2 linked regions of the Alligator mississippiensis genome follow. The protein of the gene in region 1 interacts with the protein of each later gene in a biochemical or structural test. Links are inferred from orthologs where the notes say so. Each region holds a gene or a part of one and is shown on either strand. Other genes may lie near its edges.

Evidence for each region.
Region 2: the proteins of UBXN2B (region 1) and PPP1R7 form a complex in vitro, tested with the Homo sapiens proteins (2 studies listed by BioGRID). The link is inferred for Alligator mississippiensis from reciprocal best matches to the Homo sapiens genes UBXN2B and PPP1R7.

The regions. Positions count from the first base shown.
Region 1 is NC_081826.1:69,625,418-69,635,146, forward strand, and holds the start of UBXN2B (UBX domain-containing protein 2B), read right to left. Parts: upstream 4,477-9,729; 5' UTR 4,453-4,476; coding exon 4,351-4,452; intron 2,518-4,350; coding exon 2,414-2,517; intron 261-2,413; coding exon 189-260; intron 1-188. UniProt on the Homo sapiens protein: Adapter protein required for Golgi and endoplasmic reticulum biogenesis. Involved in Golgi and endoplasmic reticulum maintenance during interphase and in their reassembly at the end of mitosis.
Region 2 is NC_081830.1:37,602,119-37,612,728, reverse strand, and holds the start of PPP1R7 (protein phosphatase 1 regulatory subunit 7), read left to right. Parts: upstream 1-6,159; 5' UTR 6,160-6,225; coding exon 6,226-6,268; intron 6,269-6,699; exon of another isoform or gene 6,700-6,777; intron 6,778-6,932; coding exon 6,933-7,055; intron 7,056-10,610. Other genes in the region: PASK (PAS domain-containing serine/threonine-protein kinase), read right to left, coding at 506-738, 3,278-3,449. UniProt on the Homo sapiens protein: Regulatory subunit of protein phosphatase 1.

The DNA.
Region 1 (9,729 bases):
GGCTATGCTACAACAATCTAAAGTTAATACTTTCCTTTTCAGTTTCTGTTAGAACATAGCCATTACGAAGAAAGAAAATGTGTGTTGGGGGGAGGGGGGGAGGGAAATGCATGCATGAAAGAAAAAAAAAACACCTTTAAAATTATTTTCACAACTGTTACAGGTGAATACATTTTTGTGCTTCATACCTTTGGTTTTCTTTGTCATCACTCATGCTTCTTTCTGGTTTTCTCAAGCTTCTGAAAGAGTCAATTTTAAGACTGCCAATACATAAAAAAATGTATTTAGAAACATGATTAGTTTCTGATTAGTGAATAATTCATCCGTGGCAACAAATATTTTCTGTCTTGTGACTTTCCAGACTTCTGCTTCATGTAAAATAGATTAAATAAATCCTCAGAACACAACCTGAACACTGCAAATACAGCCAGTCTCTACCCAAAAGTACTTAGAAGCATTTCCCCTCTGCCCTTCCATTTATTATGTATATTCAAAAATATACTTAAAAAGTCAAAATTGTAAAGCTTTATACTGACAACAAAATTCTGATAATGGATTTTAAAATATTTTAATGCAAGTAACTCAGGCACCAGGTCTTTCTTTCATATAAAATACCATAGCTCCAATTGATTTTAGAGGTGAAATTGAGATTTTATATCAGCTGAAAACCTGTTAATTTATATAACAAAGTCCTTTTAGCTTCACAGCTAGAAAAAGCATGACATACAGATAAAACTCTCTTGACCCCAAAGGGCTCACTGCAGGCCAGATACAGAACACGGGAATCCTTGTGCGCTGGATCCAGACTTGCCTCCAGCAGCAGAGCAAGTAGTGTCAGGGAGTGACAAGGGTTAATGCAAGTGTCATTTGTTCCTTTGTTACCAACACACCACAGGTCTCCACTGGGTTGCTAGAATCTGGCAACAGCCCATTCTGGAATTTGCAGACCCTTCAAGAGCCCACAGTCCAGATGATACGGCTCTGCAGGTAATACCTGTGACACCCCTGGACTAAAATATACTTAAAGACGGAATTCCTTACATTAAAGGGCATCCTTGAAAAGGCATCCTGCCAAGAGATCAGAGTCCCAGTATGTGGTTACCAATAAAAAGCAGGAGTCTGCTCATATTTACCAAAGTATTTAAAATACAATTCCAGTTTTTCCTTTGCTTAGAAGTGAGAATTATAATTTAGCAGTATTGACAAATAATGTTTAATAGTAATCTCTATAGATTACCTGTCCAGGCTGGACAGGTATTCTCAACTAGACACAGTTACCTGAGAGCCCAACATTGTGCCAAATTCCGTTTTTTTCCCAGAGATCCCTGTGGACAAATGGAAACTATTCTCCAAATGCAAAAACTCTCTGTTGGCATACACCTGCTTTTGTTATTGAAATACACACAGATAGGTCTGACTTGAGGTGGTATAACTGAAGAGTTACACAAACCTTATTTTGGTTCTTATCCCGTATACTAAATCCAGATAAATATATATTTTTAAAGAAAACACAATTTATCTATTATTAAATTAAAATTATATTGCTTTTATTTTTACTTAAGTTTAAATGTGGCAGGATTATTTTTGTATTCTAATCACTTTTTTCTAGTTAGAAGCTCTGCTTTGTTCCTCCAGTCACTTCTCAGCATCTGATGAAGTAAGTTGCTACTTATGAAAGCTTATACATTTCTGATTTAGGTGTTAATCTACCCTGCCTTTTGCTTGATTTCAGACTAAGAAGGCTAAATATCCTTCTCACAAATCTTTGAGAAGGCTGTGAGTTTCTAAATATTCTGTTATGTGAACTCTAAATACTGAAAGTCAAATTCTTGCTGGCTATATGCCCCTAAAAAGCCTTCATCCAAGAAAAAAAAGAAAGTTATGTTCAGTTTCTTCACAATACAGGGGATGTCCATCCAAGTTCTTTACTCTTGTTAAGAACCGTAGAGGACATCTGCCAGATGGCAGCTTCTGAGACTTATTTTTGGGAAGGATTTAATGAACAAAGTTGGTGCATCTTATATTGATGCAAGCACCATGGTTTCCTAACATAGAAAAGATGTGGATTGTTCCTGGTCCTAAAAAAAGTTCACCAAGAAATTGAGAGAGAGACAGATACTTCTGCACCTAACAGAGCGGTTTGGAAAACTTGCAGTGTAAAGAAGAGTTGATAAATTATTATGTGCTAAAAGAGATTCCTAAGAAGAACTTACATATTGTAGTGATCCACTCTTCACATCTCTACATAATAATAGCATTTTTAAACAAGCTGTGCTATATAATATTCTGTTCTTTCAGATCAAATATTAGAATATTGTGACAACAGCAAGGTTGGTGAACTAAAGCAAATATTTCATATTTCACATGAACAAACACATGAATAAATAATAATGAAGAGCAAAATACTTCTTACCTCTGAACAGGTACTATTGGGTTATTGACCAGGATACCTGTTGGTCTGTCAGAATGGGACGATTGACTTTTAACTTCATCCTGATACAATCCTGCCAAGGCCAACTATAAGAAACACCAATTTTTTTTAGAAAGTCTTTAACATTAGAAGTGTAAACTGCACAAAGAACACAGGATTAAAAATAACTAATACAATGTGTGCACCTCAGTGATACAGGACAACCAACATTAATATGAGAGAAACAAATGATTTGTAAACAGATGCTTTGATTTTGTGCATCTGTGCTCCAAAATAAACAAGCTTGCACTTAGTTACACATTAGAAAACACACAAGTCTGAAGTGCTTAAGAATATGTCAGGACTACCCTGGATTCAAAATGACTTGAGACTTAATACAGAAATATTGGTTCAGGATTCATTATTGATACAGGTTATGATAAATAAAGAGGTTCTGTACTCATGCCAAACAAGAGGCCACTTTACTTTTGATAAAGCTCATGAGTGGAATAACTTTGAATTTATTTTTTTAGCTCTTACATGAAATGCTAACCAGGAAACATAGCTCTAATTCAGCAAAGTACTTAATCCTATGTTTAATGCGTCTTCAGCACATGATTAAAATCACAGGCCCCAAAAAAAAGGCTGCAGTTCCCTTTATTTAAGGTTCTCCCCAAGGGTAGCCATACATAGGTGCCGCCATTTCTCTGGCAGATTCAGTTTTAAAAGAATTTGTGGGAGGCATACTAAATATGTCATTTTTGGTAGCTCATCTGTTACTGTATTTAACACCATTTACTCAGTTTTAAAAAATATATTAAGATTTCGTTTTCCAACACAGCTCGGTCTTGCATTTCTCTAGATACACAAATGGCGCAAAAATGTCATCATGCTCACTGCTGGAGGTGCTGAACAGCAGCAATGCTGGTACTACTTGGTTCACAAAAGCAACCATCGCAATGAGACCACCGTCATCTGCTCTTTACCAGGTGGGTTCTCCGGCGCTCGCTGCATTCCAATAATCTCAGCGGCAAGCCGGGCATTTTCCAGGAAAGCACTGAAGTACAGAAGGCTATTAACAAAGTCACAAATTTGTCACCAGGCCAAGCTCAAATTGCATGTGTGTGCCACTGAGCTGTACAGGGGGCCAAAGGTTGTCTTCTCTCAGAAGCCAATGAAAAAACACCTGCTCAAAAAATCCCTAGTGGTATTTAACTAATAAACTGGTGACACCTTGCAAAGAATGCGAACACAGAACCAGGGTCTGAATTACACTTGACCTCTTGCGGGGTGGGGGGAAGCAAAAAAAATTGGGCTGTCCATCACAATACCCTAATAAAATCGGAGCATCCCAGGTTATGATTTTCAAATCTTATAGGACAGCCCTTGTTTCTCATAGGGGGCTCACTCCCCAGCTCTCCTGCAACTGGAACCCTGCATAAAACTACTGGTGCAGACTTGGTTTTCTCCACACAAGTACTTGCTCCTCCTGCCGGGGAGACCTAGGTCCCTCGCCTCCTCCAAAGGGGAAGCAGAGGTTGTTTTGCAGGGTCTCCTCAGCCGTGAGAGGCAACCCCCGTCCTTGTACCCTGGCAGGCGGGTCCCACCCAGGGCAGCCTGGAGGTCCTGCCGGGGGTGGTGCCGCTGGGCACCCAAAGGTGATGCAGGGGGTAAACCCAAGCCAGACTCCTTCCTGCACCGGGCGGGCCGCTCTGGAGTCACACCCCACGTGTAAACTGGGAGTCGGGTCTCGGCTGCAGCCCGGGCTGACAACAAAGATCCGGCAGGGCGCGGCGCGGCGCGGCTGGGACGCCAGAGACGCGGGGCGGGGCGGGGCGGGGTGGGGTGGGGCAGGCTGGCAGCAGCATCGCTCCCCTCCCCTCCCGCCCCCCGCTGAGGGGCAGTGGGGGGCGTTCCCGCCCCGCTCAGCCCGGGCGCACCTGCAGATCGCGGGCTGTGGGGGGCCGCGGCCGGGGCCCGCGCCCGCTGCCCGAGGCCGCCGCTGCCGCCGCCTCCTCGTCCTGCCGGCTGCCGTCCGCCATCTTCCGCCGCTCCCCGGGGCCGGGGGGAGAGGGGGGCACCGCGGAGCACTTCCGGCAGCGGCGGCGGCTGCCATGGCAACGGGGGAGCTGGACCAGTGCCGGCGGCTTCCCCCTCCCCCACCCGTGTGCGGGGCTGCAGCGGGCGGGGCTCCCGGGGCGGGTGGGGTCACCCGTCTGCGCTCCCCGGCACGGGCGGGGGCAGCGTTCACACGGTGTCGCCCTGGGCGCCTGCCGCGCAGTATGACACCGGCCAGGTAACGCGGGTCACACACCAACCTGCTACCTTTGAGCCGCCCAAGCACGCCTGATACTAGTTTCAGGTGTTCAAGGGTTGCCGTGTTTTTTTCCAGTTTCAAGAAAGAGAGGGGGGAGAAGGGTGAGCCCCTGCCCCTCACTTTCAAGCCCCAGCCCTGCCGGTGCCCCTCACTCCTGACTTGCAGCCTCTTGCCCCCCCCAGCTGCCTTCTGCTGCCCTTCGTTCCCCACCCTCCAGGCCATGCCCTGCCCCCATGCTGCCCCCTGGCCCTGCCTGTGCCCTGCACTCCCAAGCCGCAGCACCCCACAGCGCTGCCAGTGCCCCTCACTCCTGACCTGCAGGCCCCTGCCTCCTCCTAGCTGACCTCCTGGTTACCCTTCAGCGCCTGCCTGGGGTACTGTGGGTTGGGAACGAGGGGCAGCAGTTTAAAAAACTGCCCAGACCCAAAAAAAGGATATGTTCAGGAAAACCCGGATGTATGGTAACCCTAGGTGTTCATGTGCAGACAACCCAGGTGTTAGGAGCTCCAGGAGCTGCCCGAAATTACCGTGCAACAAGGCCCGCAGAATCCATAGTATTAAAAGCATTGTGACCTATTGCGATCTGAGTTCTTTGCAACAAGAATTGTTCTGTTATTTTCCTGTAGTCAAGCGAAAATCAAGCGAAAACTAAGAACTGACCTTTTTCAAGGGGCGACCTTTGTCTATTGAAGGATGCCTTGAATCTAAAAAGGTTGAGAATCACTGTTCTAGGGGGTGAGAAGGATTAAAGTCTTCCCCATATGTTGGAAGCAAGGATTTTTTTCCAGGTTTTATTGGACAAACTGTGTGGCTGGGATAAGGTTAATCAAACTTTTGAATGTAAGGCATTCTTCAGTAGGTTACCTTAATTTTCAGGAGCCTTGCATTCAAAAGCTTGCCTAACCTTATCGCAAACATGCAGGTATTCCAATAAAAGATATTGTCCAAGACATCCTTGTCTTTTGCAAAATTCCTGGACTGGCACTCTAAACATTACTTCTACATTGGGCAATTCCACGTGTCTCAGACTAGCCTGCCCAAAGTGGCTTAAACTGGAAGATGCATAAGTTCTCTTCAGTTGCCTTCTGGTGTTTGAGTCCAGGGATTCTTTGTGACCAAGAGGTGTAGAAGCATACTCTTCTGAAATTAAATGAAATCTGAAATCCTCACTTTTATATATAGCTCTGTGAGCTGAGGCTTGAAGAAAAATAACAAGGATCACAGCTATTACAACAAATTACCTGAGTTGGCAAAACTGTGTGTAAGGATCAACCAAGTACCCAAGTTGCCTCAAGAAATTTACAAGTCAATATTTACTTAATGGCCTAGGGCCACATAATGATCATTTTCTGTTGAAAGTATTGTGTCCCAAGGTGCAGCAATCCCACATTTGAGTCTATAGAAGAAATCCAGTGTGAGGGTTCAGCCAGGAATTAGGTGGCTGGGCCTCCAGGTAGATCCTGAAGGGCAACCAGGAAGCCTGCTAGGTGGGGGGTACAGTTTACCAAGATGTCAATTGTGGTCTGGATCAGTGGAGCAGAGGGCGCAGGATCAGGTTCCAGGAAAGCTGAAAGGGAGGCCTGAGAGACAAGGTGCAAACTGAGGTTGGAAAGCAGGAGAGTCAGATGCCAAATTGCAGAAAATATCCAAGAGCAGGGTCAAGGGAAGTCAGAGCCAAATTAGGAGCCAGGAGAATCAGGGCCAGTTGCCATGTTTCAGGGAAGATCCAAGATTAGGGTCAAGAAAAGCCACAAACAAGTCAGGAGCTAAGAACCAGAGAGAGCAGTGAATGCAAGACTTGCCAGAGCAGACCAAGAGCATTATCAAAGTGTACCTATAGTCTGAGGCTGTAGCAGTGCTTAAAAGGGCTGAGCAGTGCTCTCAGCAGCCAGTCTGGCTATAGAGAACTGGGGCAATTGCATTAGTATGGGATCAAGGCCAAGTGTGGAAGCTCAAGAGCTTGGCCTAACTGGGCCTGACTGGCCAGAGGCTTGTGGCACCCAGTGTGGTATTATATACAACTAATGTATATTGAATACTGTTTATCCTAAAGCAATAGCTTTTAATGCTGCATGTGTTTTTGCCAAATGTACTGAAATACTTAGTACATCTGTGAAATTGATGCCATTTATCATTTGTCCTGTTACTGGCCTTTTCTATGTTGAACTGATGCTGCAGAAGAGAGGAATGTTAACACAGCACAGTACAGGTGTAAAGTAGGGATGGTGGATTCTTGTTTATAGTTTTAGAATATAACAAATAGCAAGTTAGAAAGAGAGGGAGACCAGAAGAAAAAAGAGGAGAAGCACCCTAATACTTATAAAAATACTAAAGAGATCTTAAGTTTTAAACAAATATTGGTGTTTGCCCAAAAATCACTCCCCCAAAAGAAAGGTTTTAACCCTATAAAAACAAAACAAATATTGGTTGCACTAGATTTGAGAATATTAGAGGACCAGCTACTAGAGAAAGCTCAACAAATTTTAGTTAGGATATTTCAAACAGAGGACAATTAGACATGCTGACACACTAATCACTACTCTGCCCAATCAAAACAGCTGCTGGTTAACATTTTTATAATATACACTCGTGAATACTGAAATGATAACAGTGGCTTTTTGGAATTTTATCTGATGTTTTGGACTGACATTTTCAATCAGTAATCATCTAACATTGAAATGGCATTATCAATTATTCCTCAACTGAAACATTAAATGGGTCTTCACCCAGAATTCCCAACTACTACTAGCATTCATCTCAGTAAATGCTGAGCTGAAATACTTTTGTAGCCTAAAACTAGCACTCAGTTGAAAGAGTGAGCTAATATTTCATATCTGCTTCCATTCAAGTGGAACTGCCACTGCTCATTCTGCTGAATCTGTCAGGGCCCTATTTATAATGGCTTAATTGTCAGAGATGCCAAAAACTGACATTAACAGTTTTGTGAGTACATATCACCTCCACAAATAGGATAGTAACACACAACACACTTATTCTGGTATCTCAGCCCTCAGCACACATACAAATAGGACATTTTGTTTCACTCTATAAAAAACAAGTTCAAAACAGAGGGCAGTTGGCCAGACATAGGAAGAGAGTTATTTGTATGTATACTATGTAAGGGAGTCTTGTACACCTGTACACACTGCACTGGGTGCATGAAATACTTTGGAAAAAGATCTTAGGAACAGCGCCATTATCCAATGTGTTCAGATACAGTTACATCTAAGGTAATGTTTAGATTTTCACTGGAGTTGAAAGAGTACCAAAGGATGAAATGTACGGCCTTTCAATTTCCTATTATTAATTTGGTTGCATTTCAAGAAAATACAATGATCTACGTATATTTGCAAAGTGACTTGTTATCTTCGTTGAAAAGGATCAAGAACCTTTGTTCACCTATTATGCACAGCAAATTGCAAGCCCCCTTATAATTTATTACCATTATGATTATTTGATTTGGTTCAGTTTATTACAGTTGAGAATTCTCTCCCCATGGACAAAGATCAGAATGAAAGATTAGATTTGTTTTCCTTGAAATTTCCAAAAAATTCTAAATCTAACCACAAAACATACCCCAAACCCACGCACAGCTACCTTCCTTTTTTCCTTAAAGCCTCATACCACCCCAAAAAAATTGGAAATGTCTAATTTCTAGGATTCACACAGAACACTATGTATAGCATAATAAACTAGTCCCTTTTCCTTTGGCTTATTTGAAAACAAATAGAAATAAAAATGAATTAACATAAATTGGATCTGGTTGTTGAGGCTTTTATTTGAGTGTGCCAAGAATGAAAATGTAGTCACATGTTTCATTCATTTTTTTTTGGCTGATTAGTGAAATGCAGCTGTTGCTTAAATGAAAATCTCCCACAGTGATATAGTCTGAATTAGGATAGGCAGCATCCAAATTGTGATTTCTGTAATGGCCACATTTTTTATATTGAATTTTATTTATATAGATATAAATAAATAAAATCAGGTCTTATTGTCATTAGATGTCCCAGGTTTGAATGGGCTCTCTGTTCCCAAATATTGGTGATGTTTCTCCTTGTTACTCCTGACTGGCAACAGTGTTGCAAGATATTGCCTGAATGTAGATTAAGATTTCATTGTGCTCTCATTGAGAATTTATTTAGCTCTAGACATCTGGGAATGTTAAATCTAACTACCTTAAGCAATCATTTTAATTTGCATAACATTATTGCTGTGACCAGTGTTTTTCTGCACAGTTTTATATTTAAAACTGTTAATTACTACCTGGTAGCTATCTTCCCTTAATTAAAAATAATCTGCATTTTTTGTATGTTCTAAAATACTTTTCAACTAACCTAGCTATGCATTCCCCAAGTGATGAAAATGCATACTATTACCATCCTCTTACAGACAGCCAATGTGGCTCTTTAATTACCAAATCCCCAGTGAAACTGGTGGTGTTCAACATTAAGATTAAAATACAGTTGAGTAATTTTAAAAATGTTCCTTAAGACTCAGATTAATGAAGACATCTGTGGATGCAGAACTGGAAAAGGGAGAGGAAGAGAGAAAGGTACGATGGCAAGTGTGGTAATGCAGTTGCATTTGACCAGGAGCAATATTGCCCCAAGTACAAATTAGTGTTCCAAGAGCAGCAGGGGCCACTGAGATGAGAAAGGAAGGAAATCTCTCAGAAATACTCAAGAGGTTCTAGAAGGTTTTGTTGAAATCTTAGTAGTTCTTAGAGCAACTTGGGAGCTCTTGATGCACTCAAAACAAACTCTTCTAGACTGTGGGCAAAACGGAACACCTAACTTAAATTTAATTTGACTCCAAACACCCTCTCTCATTTCTGGAACTCATCTGTAGTCATTCATGAAATTTAGGAAAAAGCAAAACAGAACAATTCCTCCTGCCACCCACAAACTACACAGTACAACTGGAAAAACACAGCATGTGAAATTCTAAAATTGTTTTTTTTTCAGTCATAAAAAAGGCTTTTTAGTAAGACTGATTCATATAT
Region 2 (10,610 bases), on another chromosome or scaffold:
CTGGGGGGGGCGCGAATTGGGGCGACTGCCCCAGGCCCTGCGCTTTGGGGGGGCCCCCAGAGCCAGGCGGAGAGGCCACAGCGACTCCACACTGCCACTATGTTCACATCTGGCTGCTTGGCATTCCCCTCCTGCCCCTCCACTGCTAAATCTGGTGCCTCCGGCCACTTGGCACCACCTCCTGATCACCGCTGAATCTGCCACTGGCTTCCTCACGTCCAGGGGTGGGGCCCCGCACAGGCTGATTTGCCCTGTGTCCCGCACCCTGCTCAGGTCATCTCTGTGTATATTTCACCAATTATAGAAAACAGTTGAGATCAATGGATAGTTAGTGGTTGTAGGATGATAATCTCAAGAATTTAAATAAAAGAATGACCTCAAGTTCCCTTAGCAGTACAAGTAAAAATAATACAAGTTTTGAGTCTATATAACACAACACTATATGGCATAACATAATTATACAAAGTTTATTTTTAAGTTAGTACTAATAGATACAAATAGGTACCTCTGTTGTTCTGATATCCACAGTGAATATAGCTTTGTTTGGGTTGCGTACAGCAGTCAGGAAGGACTGGGCAGACTCCTCTACGGTCAGGGCATTCAAGAAGGAATAAGAAGTGCTACTAAATGAACTGGACAGGGAGTCTGATTCCAGTTGAACCCAAGAGTTACTAAGTTTGCTGGTACTAATGTTGTGAGCAGCCAGTGAAGACAAACAATAAGAACTCCACCCATTCCCTATGACAAGGAAAGAGAATCAGCTACAGAAATCTGCAAATGGAGCATTTACATGAGAGAGAATGTTCAGAGAAAGATTAAGCATCAGCTGAAACAATTTTCAAATAGTTAAACATCAAAACATAAATTTTGAGGCTAAGGAAGGATCTTAAACTATTCATAATTACATTAATAATAATGAAAACACTGCTAACTCATACAATTGCTTGGATTGGATGTAGTAAGTATTCCAGTGGCTATAACCCAAAGACTGAAAAAATTGTGCTTTTGCATGATAACCAGTAACATAATTCTGCTTGCCTTTAGCCCAAACCAAGTGAAATGCAAAAAAAATTCTGTTGTTTTAATAATCTAAACTGCAGTTATTTTAAATATTTGTTTAGTCAGAAGTCAGTTAATTAACTGTTCATAACTAAAGCAGATCTGTGATTGAAATGCTACCCTAGTCCTCAGTTCTCATAACTATGTGAATGTGCACATCTTGTCAACCAACTGTGCCAAAAGTCTTGGCAGCACTGCCTGTAAACTGTGGTACTTCAGGAAGTGGCAGAGCATCAACCATGAAGCCTCACCATTTCACTCCTGAAAAAAAGAAGCAGCTTTCAGGAACAGGCAGCATTGCAAAGAGGTCACAATTGGAGCAGTCTGATGGTATCTATACCAGTTATGCCCAAACTTTTCATCCCACAGGCCAGATGGGCAGTACTAAATCAATCTGTGGGTCAGACCCAGATGATGGACCTAATCTGGAGCATGGGGCAGAAGGGGCCCTGCCCCAATTCTGCTGAGCAGCAATGGCTCAGCCCCATCCCAGCAGGGTAGGCAGGAATGGCCGGGCCCCATTTCAGCTGCAGAGGGGAAGGCAGCCCAAGCTGATCCAGGCATATAGGGACATGGATGGGCAGTAGGCCTGTATGAAGTGGCTAGTATTCACTTCTGATTCAGCCGATTTGGGGGACAGTAATTTGATTCAGTGATTCAAATCACTGTCCTGAATTGATTCGGACAAATCTGATTTGGAGATTCGGCTGCTGTCAAATCAACGGAATTTCTGAGTCACACAGGCCCCATCCCCTGCCCACTCTCCCAGCCCCGGCTCTTTGAAAAATAAAAGCCCCCACTCACTGGTTCCTGCCCAGCGAGGGGTGATCCCCGCTGCCCACCACTGCCCTTTGCCACATAGTGGGACTCTGCAATGAGCCCCTGGACCCGCGACTGCTCTCCCAGCCCTGCTATGGCTGCCCTGCCTGCCCCAGCTACCGGCCCTTTAAAAAAAAAAAAAAAAAAGCTCCATATACTCACCAGCTCCTGCCCAGCTGGGGGTTGACCCCTGCCGCCCTGCGCTGCATGGGGGGGATTTTCCATGAGCCCCCAGAAGCCCCAAGGCTGCTGCAGCAGCTAGTAAGTCCAGAGTTTTGGGGTTTTTTTAAAGGGCCAGGAGCTGGGGTGGACCAAGGGGTGGGGGGGGGGAGCTTGTGGCAGAGCTCCCCCATGCAGCAAGGGGCAGTGGGGGGCAGCAGGGATTCCCCCCTTGCTTGGCAGCAGCGGGTAACTAGAGGCTTTTTTTAAAGAGCCAGGAGCTGGGGCCGGGCAGGGCAGCCACTGGGGTGGCTGGGAGAGCAGGTGGGGGTTGGGGGGCGCTCTGAGGGACTGGGAAGCAGGCAGGGAATGTGGCCTGGCACGGGTCCCCCCATGGTCCCCTCCCCCTCCTCCAGCCTTCCCTCCCTCGCCGCCTACTTATCAGCATGGAGTCAGGGTCCAGCTCCCTGCTGCAGCCAGCTGGGACTGCCCAAATCACCAAAGCTCTCCGAATCTTTTCTGAATCAATTCAGAGAGCTTCAAATTGATTTGGACCTTTTAATTTGTCCCAATTCGATTTGGATTCAGAGATTCATCCACCGAATCGGACCGAATCTCCTCTGAACCGAATCAGCACCCAAAGCTTTGCACAGCCCTAATGGGCAGCCCAGGTCCATCTGCCCCATGCTGCATGGGGTGGGGGGGCAACCTGGCCCTGATCCAGCCACATGGGGGAGAGCGATAGAACAACCAGCCAGGGCCCAATCTAACTGTGGAGTGCAAGGCCAGCCTGGGCCCCATCCAGCCACATGGCAAGAGCCTGAGCCAGGCCTGATTGACTGCGTGGGGCTCAGTATTTTGGCAGTACGGGTGCAGTGGCAGTATTAATTGACACTGCTCCCTGCAACTAAATTTTCTGACTTGTGGGGAGCCATAGCTCCGAGAGATAGATTTGGCTTACAGGCCAGGGGTTGAGGACCCCTGATCTACACAGTTATACTGTCTGTGACTAGTATGTAACAGACACACCCAGCCCATGAATACATTCCAAGTTCAATTCCCTCCCTTCTCAATTCCCCTAGTACCAACATAATCTTCTCCCCTTTCTTCCCTCCCCCTGCCAGTTACTTCATTAATTCTGTCATTTCTGATATATAAGGCAAACCTTACAGACATTTAAAAGCATGCACATCTCTTCAGTTAACAAGTTCACATTGACAGAATACTGTGGGATAATCACCAGACAAAGATGGTTTACTCCGGCAAAGTTTAGAAAGCCGGCTTTTCCTGCTCTTGTTGGTCCAAGGATAGGATTTGCTCAGCTCATCAGAGTCATTTAGTCCTCGGAGGGATAACCCCGGTGAGGAACATGCTAGCCCCTGTTCACCACAGCTGTGTTCCATGGCTGCCATATTCAAACTGTCACGTCACCCTTGGGATCCACCATCTCTGAAGGAAATACAGAAGAGTTCAGTCAGATTTACAAGTTGTAATCCAAAGCATAAGGGCACCTTGTCAGTGTGCCTCAGATCTAGCCACAATGAGGAGTGAGACAAGGCCTTGGGTAACGTTTTCTGAAGCTTTTTATCATTTATGTCCAGTTTTCAAAAGGCCCCGGGGTGTCTAAATGACCTCACTTAGGACCATTTTACCCACAAACACCACGAGGCAAATAAAACACCACCACCACCAGGGCACCCCTTAGGAAGACTAGGACCAACAGTCACAAACTCTTGGAAGACCATTTTAGGCTGGACATAAGGAAAAACTTCTTTACTGTCTGAGTCCCCAGGGCCTGGAATAGACTCCCCAAAGAGGTGCAGGCACCTACTCTGGATTCCTTTAAGAAACACTTGGAGGCCTATCCTGCTGGGATCACATGACCCCAGCTGACTGCCTGCTCGCCCTTTGGGCAGAGGGCTGGATCCGATGATCTTGTGAGGTCCCTTCCAGCCCTGATGTCTATGAATCTATGAAGGCCAAGTTTTTCCATGGCTGTATGAGCCTTTGATCTCTGTTCTTAACGCCCACCTGGCTTTTCCAAGTTACTTCTGAAGAAGGAATGTGCCCTCAGCCAGCCCCGCTTCTCATTGCTAGGGTCATTTTCAAACACAGAAAAAGGCTGTACTAGTGACAGGCTCTTCCTTAAGCCTAACCTTCACTAGATGTCTCCGATGAGCTACATGGGAATTCCTAGGGACACAAAGTAAAAGTGTCCTACAACAGAGGGGGACACAAGGTAGCCCCACACCCTAGGTGCCACTCCACCCCCTTCCCCTGCCTCACGGGCTGCTGTTCTTGCCTTGCGCTCCCTGCCTGCGCAGCTGCCCCCAGCGGGATGGGCAGCTCTGCCCTGCCCTCGTCTCCCTGCCTGTTATCAGGGCGGCGCTGTCTTCTGCTCCCTGACCCATCCGCTGCTCTGCCGTCCGCTCCCTGCCCCGTCCGCCCCCTCGCAGGGACCCGCGAGCCGTCTTGCGCCAGTTACGGCCTCACCAACCCGGCGCCGCCGCTCCCCCGACCCCCCCAAGCCGCAAGAGGCCGGGAGCAACTCCGTACCCTGCAGCCCAGAGACACGGGGCTGAGCAAGGCGTCTCAGTGGCACGAACCAGCGGCGGCGGCGCCGACTCCCTCAGTCCGGGCAGCAACGCTTGCCGCGCCGGGAAAGGGGCGGGCCGCGCTCACCTCTCCGTCCAATCCGGAGGGCGGAACCCGAGGGGACGGTTGGGATTGACAGCCATAGCAGCCAATTGGCCTCCGGGGCGCGCGGCCCAAACGGCTTCTCCATGGGCCAAATCCCCGCGCGCGGGGTTGCTAGGGACGCGGTCGCCTCTGCCTACGGGGCGCGGGAGGGGGCAAAATGGTCCAGCGGGGTTTAGGAGCGCTCTTCCTGCGTGCGACGCTCTGTGTATGGTGCTGTGCGTGTGACTGGGTTGTGTTAGGGGCAGTCAGAACAGAGCTTGCTGCGGAGTCTTACCCCATTCCCTTGGACTCGCTAGGCGGAGCCCTTGCTGAGTCCCTCAGCGGGGTAGCTGCTTTGTTTCCCTCCTGCCCCTTCATTTTTTCGACCACTGCTTTCTAGTAGAAAACTCCATGTCCCGCATGCCCTTCATCATGAAGCACCGGAGGAAGTCAGCCCCTGCTTGGGGAAGCTCATGCGAGGGGCAAGGACGTGTTAAGGTGGTATCTTGTACTGAGCCAACTCTGGAGCTAGGTTCAAGTCAGAGCTTTGGCACGGTGGCAGGAAGGCGGGCACGGAGCGAGCACAGCGCAGGGGAGGGGCTGACACAATTAGGGAAAGAAAAACAGCGGGTTACTGGGAGATCAAGGCCTATCGTAAGGAATGGCGGGGGAGACGCTGATAAGTCTCGTCTTTGCGTGGGAAAAAAATCAGAATTAAAATGGGCCATAAACCGTTATCAGAGCTGGTTCTTAGTGTCAAGCCAGGTTATGCGTTTTTATTCCCATGTTTGCCTTTTACAGGTGTTAGGTAGATTTCCCTTGGGCTTGTGGCTCTCCACTTACACGTCTCTGAGGTAGTTAGTCCACAAAGTGCAAGTCCCCCTGCCTTCGGCCCCACCCTGGGCTGAAGCCATTTACATGCACCTCCTAGTCATTGGGCGACTGATCGGAGTGTAGGTATCACGTATGGATGCTGGGCACTGAAGTGGCACTGAGGGGCTCCATCCGGGGCCGAGCGAGGCAGTGTCCAAACCTGCCTCGGAAGGACCGGTGTGAGCCCTGTGACAAGAGGGTCGCAGTACCCCAGCTGCCCAGCCCTGGCCAATGCTCTGCCTGCGTTGCAGCGGAGCTGGTTTTTACTGAGGGCTGTGCTGAGCCACCCACAACGCTGCACAGCGGGATCCACCGAGAGCCCGGCTGGCCCCGGCCCCGCTTCCGCCGCCGAGGCCGGGGAGGAGGTAGAGCGGGCTGGCGCCGGGCCAAGCCCCGCAGTACCTCTACCCCCCGCCCTCCTCTGCGTGAAGGCGGAAACTACATCTCCCGTAAGGCTGCGGGGTGCTGGGGCGGGCGTACGCATGCGCAAAAAGCCCCCCCCCCCCCCCGGGAGTCTCGGTGAGGAAAGCGAAGACGTGAGTGGCTGGAAGGCTGGCTCCCTGCAGCCGGGGATTGGCTGCGCGCGTGGCGGCAGCGAGTTCCGGAAAGAGGGGGGACGGGGGCAGGAAAAGCAACATGGCGGCGGAAAGCGGAGAAGGGCCGCAGGAGATGATGGAGGGTGAGAGGCCGCCGGCGGGCCCGGCCCGGGGGGAGGGACCCGCGGCCCGGCTAGGCCTCACGTTCGGGGCCGGGGCGGCTGGGCCTAGGGCGAGAGCGAGGCGCTGGGGCAGGACCCGCAGGCGCGGAGCACAGGGTCGGGCGGCCCCGGGCGGGCAGGGCGACCGGGTCCGAGCTGCTTCACCTCCTTGCCCCCACCATCGGCCCCTGATCGTGAGGCCTGTGGGCGCGTCCAGAGGCTTCGCTGATCCCAGCCAAGCCGCAGCCTCTCGGGCTCTGGAGGGGCTGGTAGGGCGAGGAGCAGCCCTCCTTGAAACCAGGGTGGAAGTTGCCAGCCCCCTCTGCGCTTTTTAAATGTAACCATACTAATTCAGTCTCCTTAACCCTTGGATTCGTACTCCATTGATCTAAGAAATGTCCTTTTTCCTCCAGTCTTCTTCCCAGATTGTTGGTTTTAGGAAGATGTGAAGGGAGGAAAAAGTGTTCCAAAAATCAAAGTAAAAACAAGGGGTAAGAGGCCTTTTATTTAAGACTAAACCTTTAATTTAGTAAATTTAGGATCTCTACTAACCACATGGTGGTTCATGTCAGTCTTGGTTGTTGTACCTGCTTGGTGCTCTCTCTTCTGAAAGCAGCCTAAGCCTGCTGTTCTGTATCTCTCACAGTTGACAGGCGGATTGAATCGGAAGAGTCAGGGGATGAAGAAGGGAAGAAGCAAGCAGCTTGCATAGTGACAGACCTCAGCCAGCAGAGCCTGAGAGATGAGCAGAATGGTGAGAATTCAACAGGTATACAGTCAAGTTACATCATCATTGCAGGGAGGGCTTCTCTGTGCTCTATGTAACAAGATGCTTGTACCACTTCAGATGGTTGCAGTGATTTGAAGAGCATCCACTGAGCACATTTGCTTTAGTTAATATGTGAATCTGCCCTGTGATGCTCTATTCTGGAATCCATATTGTGGCACTGCATTCGTTTCCAGTACTTCATTTTAGAGGATCATTTAAGTTACAGGCTGTTGTCATACTTCCATGTTTATCTGTCTCTGCAAACATATTTGACTTTGAAAGAAGCCCTAAGAGTTTAAAGTACTAGTGGATCTCATTGTAGCTCTGTTACTTTTATTGCAGAGAAGTAGCTAACCCCATTATTAATACTAACATACTTTTTATGGCCTTTTTAATTTTGTCTGGAAATATGCGACTTAGCCTGAAACTTGCTAAATTGCTGGAGGGGAAGGCGGCAGATGTTTTCTGGAAGGCTTGAAGTAAATTTGTCAAATAGTTTTTGAGTTGCAAGGCACTTAATTACCCCGATGTAAAATTTATTTTCTGATGGTACTTGTCTAATGATTTCTTGAATCTTTTGGCTCAAAGCTTACCCATTATTGTTAGTTATGAACATTTTGTATTGCTTACACAGCTGTCTGAATTGCCTTGGTCTTGCTTTAATGATTCGTGTGGGAGCTATCAGAGCGGACACCTGCCAACCTCATTTTATATTTCTGGCACGTTTGGTTTTTTTCCAAAGATGAAGAAAAGATGGGATATAATGCAATAAAAGCGTTACCCAAAAGAAAAAAATAGACATTGCTGTTTAGTGTTCAAATAAGAGGCAGCAAAAGACCAGGAACATACTTGCACTTTTTGAGTAGGCATACTAAGGAATTTGAGAGATTATCTGGAAATGAAATAAGATCTCTGGCCAATTCTTCACTGCTGCATAATCATTTCTGATGGATCATTGCCACACCTGATTTGCAGAGTTCATCACATCCTAACATTGTTCCATAAAATTTGCAAAAATATACTCAAAATTAGCAAATTACCAGAAGTGTTTAAAATCTCTTTTTCTATTCCATTTAATCTTTCCATTATGCCTTAACACAGTGGTTCTCAACCCTTTTTGTACCAGGACCCATTTGTAAACATTGATGGCCACGCCCGACCCAGTGCCCCTCACTCCTGACCTGCTGTCCCAGGCCCCAGCCGTCTAGTGTGTGGTGCATGGGGGTGGGGCCCAAGCAGCCACTTGCAGGCTGGAACTCTGCCAGCCTGCAGGGGGAAAGTTACAGCTTCCCACTTTTTTTTTTCCTCTAAAGGGGAATCCATTTTTAAAATTTGTTCATGACCCTTTCATATATTCTTGTGACCCACTTCTGGGTCACGACCCATAGGTTGAGAAACGCTGCTCTAACACAAGGGTGGCCAAAGTGTGGTACATATGCCACAAGTGGTTGTGACAGACTGTGTGTGTGACATGACAGCCTAGGGGGAGGAGAGGTAACAGATCAGGCACGAAGCATGGGAGGAAGTGGAACACAGGACAACAGACTGGGTAGGAAGCTCAAGGGAGGGAGCAGAAAACAAAGCAGCACTCAGGGAGGATGCTGGGCTAACTTATAGCATGTCTGCCAAAAAGATTGACCCCACTACTTTAACACTACATTAATCATGAAACAGCTACATATGTTAACAAGCTTGCAAGATCTATATGTTCTTGCATAAAGCTTGAGCACCATCTAATCAACATGCCTAATAAAACCAAGTAGATTAATCATTCATAAAATTCTTCCACTACCAGCACAGCAAATCACCATGTTTTAATTATACTCTGGGGCTACTATATTTTATATAGTGCTTATTAAGCATATAGTAAAGATTTCAAAAGTAACTAACTGTCCATCAAGTAGCACATTCCTGTTATGCAATAAACCAATGGACCAAGTTCATATTGGATAAATAGATAAATTAGGACCTATGTTTAATTTTTAATTCTAGATTTTTGTTCCATAGCTACTAGAGTTCAGGAAATATTTTAACCAACTAGGACTCTGCCCTAGTAAATTATTTCTGGAATGTTTGCATTAGATCCAACCAGTCAGGGTTTGAGTTATCCAAGGAGAAGGTAAATATGTTTTTTCCATAAGAAATCTTAAGTACAGGCAGCTTAAACAACTGAGCTTTTAGAGAACTAGTTGCATGGGAAATCTAAGACAGAACTATCCAGCTTCTTACTGGCTGCCCCTCCCACCCCCCACAGTTTTCCTAGATGCAAGCTCCTGCTGCACTGTGTAGACAATCAGTTCCACACCTTCCCTTCCTTCCCTCCCTGCTTGGCTGAAGTTCCCTCCGCACTGCTGGCTTCCCTGCCTTCTGGAGAGAGATGGGAAGGGAGCCTGGAGACTCTGGCTGCTACTCAGCTAGACTAATCAGGAGAACTGTAGCTAGGGGGAGCCCAGGGCAGCCTGTGAGCTGCTAGTTCCACTGTCCTGCTCTAAGGAATAGTCTTTGAAGGTTTTCTTAAATCAGTAAGTTGCAGGCAATCTAATAAGCATGAAAAAACCTAAGAGTTAAATATGCAGTTGAGCTTTAATTATGCTAATGTCTGTGGTGTAATAGAATTGCATAACCCAGTAGTTCTGTATTGCAAGCCTCTATCTTCTAGTATATACCTTTTTTCTTCTTTCTGTAGTTTTCTGTAGCTTGTAGTCTGTGGGGGTGCATTAAAATTGTGAAATTTCAGTGTTGGAACAATTTTCTTTTCCTTAAGAAAAATAAAAATAATTTGTGCTAAAGCTATTTGCATATTTTAGTACATAAGAGTAGAATTATACTTTCACTTAATGAATGACTGCAAAAATGTCAGTCTGGGTTTCCATAACTATCTCAGTGTGGGGGGTTTATCACATTTGCTCACTTCAAGTAAAAAGGTACTATTTTTCAACCTGTCCCTTCCAGCCCTAATGTCTATGAAATCTATGAAACCTGCTAACGCTGGATTAGTATTAAGTCTAGTGATGCCTTTTCTAGCCTAGCTGCCATCACTGGTAACAGCAGATTCTGTAATCAAAATATAGTAGCTCTGTTGATGATACATTAGCCAGTATTGGGCATGGTGCTAATCTGAGTGAGGACGGTAAAACCTTTTCTCTATTAGAGTATTAAGATTTGCATATATAAATGCAACAGCCTAATGTAATGAATGCAATTTAAAACTGAACGCTCCAAAGCCAGGAAATACGAAGAGTTATAGTTCCCATAACAATACAGACTCCCCCACAGTTCATATAGAGCATACAGAATTGTTCTGAATCTTTAATCAGTAAAATCCATTGTATGTACAATGTGGATCACTTAATATTGCTATGGGAACCTTAATGTACTTGTACTCCGAAAACTGAATATGTAAAAATGATTCTAGCAGTTCTACTGCCCAAAGATTTCTAAAATTCCAGCCCCGTTGGAAGAATGCACCCTCAAACAGCTTTTTTTTCTTTCTCTTTTTTTTTCAAATAGTTTCCTTTATCCCATTTGGGATGACTTTTAGAACTCTGCCATTAT